2 linked regions of the Coturnix japonica genome follow. The protein of the gene in region 1 interacts with the protein of each later gene in a pairwise test. Links are inferred from orthologs where the notes say so. Each region holds a gene or a part of one and is shown in the gene's direction. Other genes may lie near its edges. The genes, in order: MOCOS and PARVA.

Region 1 (4,576 bases):
AAGTATGTATTTGAGAGATGCAGACTTGGTCTCAGATGGTGTCTGTGGGATATTAAAGGAAGCTTTCAGGTGAGTGTGCTGGCAAAACTTCTCTGTATGGACAGATAATGCACAGCTGTTCCTGATGTAGTATCAGAAAACAATCACCAGCATTTTAGTAGCAGTTAAGCCCCATTTTCCATGTGAAAAACATGAAACAGGCCCCTTTTCTCCCCCAAAGAGAATTTTCAGATTTGCATGCAGCTCCTACAGTTTCCTGAATACACCTGTTTTTAAGCTAAACTGTTAATTACAATGAAGAATTTGCATTTGGGTTCTTTCATTTCCTTCCTCCTCCGTTTCTTTTGCTACCGCTCTGATAAGAATTGTCTTGATTGTTTTTCTGAATGTATTTTAAAATTCTGTGAACAGTGGTAGAAATAAAACCTGGCTTCACATGGATTTATATTTATATTTATAATAATAAATAATTTATTATTATAAATTTCTATTTATAATAATAATATTTATATTTAGTACTCCAACTTGCACTCTGTCACACACACCAGAAGGGAGCAGCATGCCTTGTGACCACGCCAAAACCTCATGTGTGCAGGTTGCCTAATGCCTTTCAGACAGAGCATGTAGTGCTCTGAGCACTGGGAAGTGCCTACTTTTTCTTCAGTGGGAGAATTGGCTACGGTTCCCCTCCTCTATCAAGCTCCTGATTCTTGTGACTCTTTCCTCACAGAACTAAACTGACAAGCGAGTTCAGGAACTAGATACAAAGAGAAAGAAGAATCCCTTTCTTTCCCTGCAGGGCCTTCAGTGCATTAATACTGAGGCTAGCAGTACAGGTGTGCTGAAGGCAGAAGTAGTAATTGTGAGGTACTGGTTTTGTCCACATTAAACTTGGTGAGTCTGAAATTTTAGGCTGCCTAACATGCAGGCCTCAGAGCAAAGAAGTTAATGTAATTTGGGATGCTTAAGTTGTTTATGTAATATGTGTTGTGAACATCATAATATCCAGACAAGGTCCCGAAAGAAGACATTCAGAAATGAGACACAACCTGTGTTGGTATACCTACCACATCCATGAATAGTCAAGGATGAACCTACTTTTAGCATTACAGAGATGCACTTCAGTGCCTCGGAGCAAGGCTTTCAGATATCTGATTGCCAATTCCACGCTACTGCTTTTGGCCAGCTGAGGTCCTGTATGTTGAGCGCATGGTGTCTGTTTCAAGTCAGCAGGACGGAGCAGTTATAAGATTTCAAACACGAAGCGTGAGCCTCATGCTGCTCAGCAGCAGCCAAAGTATTGGGGGGAAATAGGAAAAGATTGATGCTAAGGAAAAGAGTTTTCTATGAACTAAGTGAGGCTATCCCTATTGGCTCTGCTTAAAGCTGTGTGTTAAGGATCAGGGAGCAAACGACCCCACGCAGGCGCTGGCACTGCGGGCTATGGGGCTCCAAGCCCGGACAGGCGGGCCTGGGCCCGGGTGCTGCCCCGCGGGGGCGGGCGGCGGGAGGAGCCGGGCTGGGAGCAGCGCAGGCCGGAGTGCGGCCGGGTGGCTCGACTCGGCCGTCCGGACTAAGTTGAACGCTGTGTTGTGTCCTCCTCGCTTTTCTCCGCCTCAGCTCGCATCATGGCCGAGGAGCTGCTCTCCTTCCGGGCTTTTCAGAGCAGCTGCCCAGCCGGCTATGAGTACGGAAGCGAACTGCGCGGCCTCCGGGAGCGCGAGTTCCCACGGCTCCGAGGTACCGAGGGGGCGGGGCCGAGGGTTGAGCGGAAGGTTTGAAAAGAGAAAGGTTTGTTTCTTTGTTTTTAATTGAGAATGTGAGCTCAGATGGTAAAACAGCCCTGTCTGGGAACGGTTTGAGGCTGAAGGGTCTTTGTGAATGACTTCTGCAGGCTTTGTGGCTCTCCCATCACAAATGCCTGTGTGTGCATGCACCTGTTACTCCAAGTCAGGTGCAGTGAGTCTGCTAAGATAAATCATGTAAAGAGAGGTTTTGATGCCCACGATCTTAGCATTTCAAAACACTTAAGGAAAAATATAAAAAGAGAGGGGTAAATAACATCAGCGTGGGTGTCCTGGACTTGATGCTTAAGCTGGTCTTACTGTGAAGGGTTTCCCACGAATGCTTCTTTAAGGCATTTCATGGAGATCTTATGATAGAATCTGAGCACAGGTATCACACACAAGAGCTAAATTTTAGCAGCAACCTGATGAACTTCACTGTTAGCTAGGAGTCTATAAGCTGTTTTCAATTATCAGCAATGCTAGCTGCATCAGAGAAGGCTGGATGATGGGAAACTTGATGGCAAATTCAGGCCAGGATTCTGAAAAATAAGTGAGAAGTTATGTAGACATTTAAACAGATGGCTCATCAGAACTCCTGAAAGTCAGTCTTGTTTCTCATGAGACTCCTTGTTTTTGAGATGAAGCATAGCTGCTGGTGAGTGATGCCTGCTGGATGTGCCTGGTGCCCAGCTAGAGGTCACTGCAAAAGCAAAGAATTTAGAGCATATTTACCTTTGTTTATAAGTGTTTTAGCCAGTCTACCAAGCTGTACTTCAGTCGTGCTGCTTTCTGAAGTTCCTTTTACCTTTTGTAGAACTTTTGAATGTCTGCTTTTATTCTAAATACTATTTTTTGAGTCAAATATATATATATTTCAAGATTGTAATGTTTTGTTCAGAAGTTGTCCGTTCATCTTGAAAGCTCTTTGTATCAATCAGGAAGAACAGTGTCCTTAACTAATGACAATCAGTATGTATTGTCCTACCTGGTATTCCTGAGTTAAAAGTGGGGTCACCTTTCCTGTAGTCAAGAACTTGTGTCTTTACGAAATGGCAGTAACATGTAAGGTTAGATATCCCCTGTCTTATGTGTCTGTCTGTCCAGAGCTGATGAGTTTGATTTGCTAAAGGTCTTAACACCTTTGCTGTGGATGCCACCAAATGGCTTTTGAAGCTCTAGGTCTCTGTTGCCTTGCTGAAATAAGGTGGAGTTGGCTGATATACAGGTTAGCAGCAGTAGTAGTGAGTATAGGGGCCTTCTCTGAGTGACCTAAGAAATCAGTGCGTGTTTCAGGCACTTGGCTTCCTTCATTTTCAGTGACCTGCCAGAATGTGTTGGAGATGAGGCAGGAGTCTTGGATCGTTGCTGGCTTCAGGTCAGCTTTATGAATAAATCCTGACTGTACAAATGGCTGACTCTCAAAGGACCCTGTAGCTGCTCTGGGTCTTAATCTCTGCTGGACGCCTACCAAACTGCTGCAACACCTTCATACAGTTAATCCCTCCTGGTTAAGAGCATTACCAACCAGATACTGGTTTTAAGTAGTCAATTGCAGTGTCTTACACTGCTTGTTTGGGATGTGTATCAAAGATGGTTCCGTTGTTGAAGTTATATAATAATCATAATTCTGCTGCTGACTTCTGGGAACAGAAATTTTGTAGTCCTTGTCTAAGTGGCTGTGAATTAAGCCCAAAGTTCTGTATTTGAAGTGCTAGCGGTTTATAGACATATATATAGACATAGCAAAAAAGCCTAGTGCATGTCAGCATATTCATATTTTCTCAATTGCTGACATTTGGTGATGTTCACTGAGGACATCTTGTACAAATGGTGCTTTCTAGGGAAAGGAAAAACCTTCCTTTTGTGATACAGCTTTGACTTTATGGTGGTAATGCCTCTGTTGTAGCTCTAATATAAACCCAGCCCAAGAGTCTGCCCAGAGTAATATATAGTATATCTGTGCAGGGACACCAGCTGCTGGACATAGTGTGAAACCAGGCTTTTCTTTCAGAGGTGGTCCACTTGTGATGTTACCAAGATCCACGGGAGGTCTGTTCTTGACTGTATCAGAAGGCTCTTATAAACTGCGTTGGGGATTTTCCATTCAGAGTCCCTGAAGGGATGAAAGGAATGACTTGAATCAGCAGGGCTGTGTCTGTCTGTTTTGCTACAGAAGCCTTAAATGTTACCTTTTAATCCAAGGTTTATCTTCACGTTTATAATTGAGGGGCTGTTAGCTGTGGGCTTGAGCGAGCCCTTCTAAAAATATATGTGGAGTCTGCGAAACTGATCCCAGTTTTACAGGCAGCAGTGCATGTGCAGTACGTGACCTTGACTTTAATCTTGTGAAGAGCACACCCTTATCTGCAGTGTAAATTGTGCTTTAGAAATGGATAAAGAAATCAGCAGGAGTTTGTAGGTTCTGTTGTTAAGTAATGGGAATAAATATGCTTCTGTGATTTTTATCGTAGCAAAGAAAATAGCAGCTTCAGTTTATTGCATGTTTTCAAAAAAAGAATAAAAAGCTGACGTGATTTGTGGTGCAGTGTTTAGTCCCAAGATACCTTTCTAGTTTTAGTTTTGTGCCAATGTTCTCCTCAGAGATAATAGTGACCACTTCAGTGGGAGTTTTCCAAGAATGATAAGCAACTTATAGCCCCCAAATAAAAAACACAGTGTATTAGTGGTCAGGTATTCTTTAAGGGCTGCTGACTCTTTATTTGAACTAAAACGCAGTGTCACCTTTAATGTCAAATGCATTGTCACATTAAATGTCAGTTGTCCAGAAC
Region 2 (3,816 bases), on another chromosome or scaffold:
GGGCATTTCCTCGTGACTTATCCCTGAGGAAAGAGACTGACACCCACCTCGCTTACCGTCTCCCTTCAGATGATTGTTTCCTTCTGGTATCTCAGAGTTTCATTATAGTAGACAATGCCATAGGGTTACGAGTGAGATGCCTTGAACGAAGTCTCATGAATGCTGTTATTTTTTAAATAGAGATAAATGTAGAACGTGAAAATTATCATTCTTTATTCCTTTATTTCCTTCAACATCCTGAATTTCAATGTAGTCATCAGGCTGCACCTTGGTTGTGCTTTTCTCCGCTCAGAGAATGCATGCTGTTTGATAGCTTGAAAACTGGTTGTTCTGATTTCCTGCAACTAACAGAAGAGAAAACAAAAACGCAGATCAATGTCACTGACCGTTGCTTTCTGCAGTAACTTTATTCTGTGCGTGTATTCAGAAAACATACTGAGAAATGTCTTTTTTACAGTTTGCAGATGGTGTGTACTTAGTCCTGCTAATGGGTCTCCTAGAAGGCTATTTTGTTCCTCTCCACAGCTTTTTCTTGACTCCTGATAGTTTTGAACAAAAGGTAATGAGATTCCCTTTTTCTCTTAAAGCAAAACAAAACAAAAACCTCCCTAGCAAACATAGGAATTGTTTTAGGGATGATGCTGACTTTTCTGTATGGGTTCAGTGTTGGTAGCTGAAAACCAAAGAGAACAGGTCTGAACTGGTAACCATTTCCAAGCATTCTTTTTTTTAAATCTCAGTGTTAATACTTATTCAGAATAAAAGGGATAATTACATTAATGATAGGGCATCTAGCAAATATTAACTGATTTTGGCAACCATTGCGTGGTGCTATCACTGAGCCAGCCTCAGTGTTCATTAAAATTATACACAAATTGATGACGGGACTGATTTTTTTCAGCTCAAAGTCAAAGAATTTGACATTTCAAAAGTTTTGTATTTTTTGAAAGCATGAAGATTTATATGTACTGTGTATCATTTTAAGACTGACCACTGATGTCTGTCGCTGTCTCAGCAATTCAGTTATCTAAGATGCGCACCACATAAGCCATCATGTTCTGATTTGTAAACTTGGGGACTGTTTTTTCTATGTGTAATGTCGGTTCACATGCTATTTTTCCATTACTTTTGTATTTCTGAAACACTGTCACCACTCAGGAAAAAAAAAGAAAAAAAAACCAAAATCAAGGATTGTCTGTACTGATATATGGAGGCTTGATTTTTTTTTTTTTTTTTTCCCAGATTATAGATCTGCAGCTTTAAATGCATCTTCTTTTGACCTTTTTTAGTATGCTTTGTCTAGATCATAACAACTACCTGTATCATATCACTAGGTCCTCAATGTGTCCTTTGCATTTGAGCTAATGCAAGATGGTGGACTGGAAAAACCAAAGCCAAGACCAGAAGGTATCTATTTGATTTATTTTTTTTTTTTTTTTTTGCGCATCTTTAAAAAATCTGAGTTAAATCTGGATCTCATAGGGTTTTGCTACAACTAAATAAAGGTTAAGATGTTAATGCATTAGAGTGATGTTAATGCATCAGGTGACTGGAGGGGAAGGTTTTGTTGCTGACCTTAGCAAGACCAGGATTCCATTTCACTTATATAAATACAGGATTTAAATCCAGCTTTTCAGGCTTTATATAGGACCCTTGATTCTATGTGGTATAAGGCACTCGTATGGTTTCTGTTGTTCTTGCCATGGAGGAGCTGGATGTGCAGCTTGTGCAGCTCTTTCCAATGGTGGTAGCTGGGTGCTGCAGGTTACCTACCACCATAATTAATGTATGTGTTTTCAAGATGCAGTCTTTTCCTACCATAATATTGGATCATTATTTCCTCAGGAGTGATAGAAACTGATGCTTAGACTTCTTATATATTAAGGACACTGGAGATTCTGACACAGTGCATCAATTTCTGCTCTGTTCTGCTTTTTTTTCCATTCCTCCTGACCTCCAAATTGTGCCAATAGCAGGCATGTGCACAGAGTCATGTCTCAGGACTAAGCCTATGCTGCCTATGCATTTTATCTGCATCTATCCAACCTACTTCATCACTTCTCTTGATTGCTTAACAATCATGCTTAACTGCAGCAGTGGTGACTGTGTCACAAACTTCTGTGTTTGAAACAGTCAAAGAGAGAAGAGGAAAAGAGTGAAATCTAGAGACCCAAGTAAAATAGAGAATATCTGTGATCCCTTGTTCCCTGTGGAGGTTTAAAATTCTTACGGCATTTAATTTTGGGGGTATTTATTGCTCCAGGGGACAGCTAATTTTTCCAGTATAAATCAAGCCATAAGGATATTTCAGCATATATAAGACATTTCTTGTGCAATTATTGAAATGCTTAATATGAAACTTCCTGCCCTATGTGAATGGAAAAACACTTCTGTTTTATGTGTTGTTACATTGGGCACAATGCCCATACATAAAATTTCCAGTGAGCAAAGGAGCACTGAAAAGAATTTTACCCCAAATGCATAGACTAAATAGTCTTTAAATTCCTACACTGTTTCTTTGAGGTTCTTGGGGGAAAAAAAAATGCTGAAAAGTGCTTCAGAATATGAAAAACATATTTAGTGGAAAAAAGAATGTGGCTAAATAAATGAGTATGAAAACCAATGATTTTTATGGGGTCAACAGTTTATTTGGCTTGTTTGCAATATAATTGAAAGAGTATTATAAAGCTTTCCATGACCTTTTACTTTTAAAAATGGCCAGAACATTAATCTACTGAGTCTATAACAAATTCATTTGCACTTTGAGCTTTTCAGCTTACTTCTTGAGACATGTAAATCAAAGCCAAACTTCAGTTCCGCTTCTTGAAAATTTTAACCAGTAAAATGTTACACACACCAGTCAAATACAATTAGCAATGGAAGTAACTCTTCTTTTTCTGAGAGTGCTTTGCTTTTTGCTGTGGACCTTGCTCTGGAATTCTGTTCTGGTGATGGAATCATCTGGTAATTTTGCAGAGACTTGTGGATGTGTCTGATCATTCATTTGAAGTTCTGTATTAGGAAATGAAAGCATTGTGCAGCTTGCTTCCAGCATGAAAGAAGGAACTTCCTGAGCTATATACGAACAGTATTAGAAAGTGGAACGTGATGTTGTGGGGCAAAATGCCTTTCCTGTAGATTTTGGCTTTTTTTTTTTTTTTTTCATTTTGTAGCAAGCATTTTTTTATCTGATTTATTAAGAATCACAAAACTTTTTGGCCGTGATTTCATGACTGTGCATAATCTCATTAAGAAATGTGGGTTTGTCTATTTTCAACCTTTATCCATGAATGTCATTTTGCCATGTGCCTAATACATAAGCTGCTCCAAAAGTAATGCCTCCTATTTATTTTCATGGAAGCTACAGCAGTTACAAAAAGCACAATAAGACTATCAGACAGAGAAAATTCTCAGCAACAGTACTGTTTTTCAACATAGTCACCAACAGTTAACTGTGCATTTTTACCAGTGACAAATAACAACCTTCATGCTACGCTTGTAAAAGTCTGCACCAGTGGAGGTGACCCTCGGTGGCCACTGCTGAAACGCACCACCCACCGCCTTACTGTGCTCACTTCTGCTCTTTGGTCTCCATACGCATTCAACAAGTGTCATTGAATGTCAGTGGGTGAAGGTTTTTCCCCTTCAGTGCCAGGCACCATTTTGTCAGAGTGCCCCTTTGCTGCCATCTGTCACACGGCAACAGCATGTATCAGAATATTGGTGGAAAGGTTCAACCTCTACTGCTGTCCCACCAACATCCACCTCTGACATTGTGGGTCGATGTAATAGCATAGGATACGTTACTTTCAGGGC

Evidence for each region.
Region 2: the proteins of MOCOS (region 1) and PARVA interact in binary tests that used the Homo sapiens proteins (3 or more experiments, as listed by UniProt). The two-hybrid records come from large-scale screens. The link is inferred for Coturnix japonica from reciprocal best matches to the Homo sapiens genes MOCOS and PARVA.

Annotation. Positions count from the first base shown.
Region 1 is NC_029517.1:46,080,309-46,084,884, forward strand, and holds the start of MOCOS (molybdenum cofactor sulfurase), read left to right. Parts: upstream 1-1,490; 5' UTR 1,491-1,628; coding exon 1,629-1,740; intron 1,741-4,576. UniProt on the Homo sapiens protein: Sulfurates the molybdenum cofactor. Sulfation of molybdenum is essential for xanthine dehydrogenase (XDH) and aldehyde oxidase (ADO) enzymes in which molybdenum cofactor is liganded by 1 oxygen and 1 sulfur atom in active form.
Region 2 is NC_029520.1:12,241,949-12,245,764, reverse strand, and holds part of PARVA (alpha-parvin), read left to right. Parts: intron 1-457; coding exon 458-559; intron 560-1,334; coding exon 1,335-1,407; intron 1,408-3,816. UniProt on the Homo sapiens protein: Plays a role in sarcomere organization and in smooth muscle cell contraction. Required for normal development of the embryonic cardiovascular system, and for normal septation of the heart outflow tract.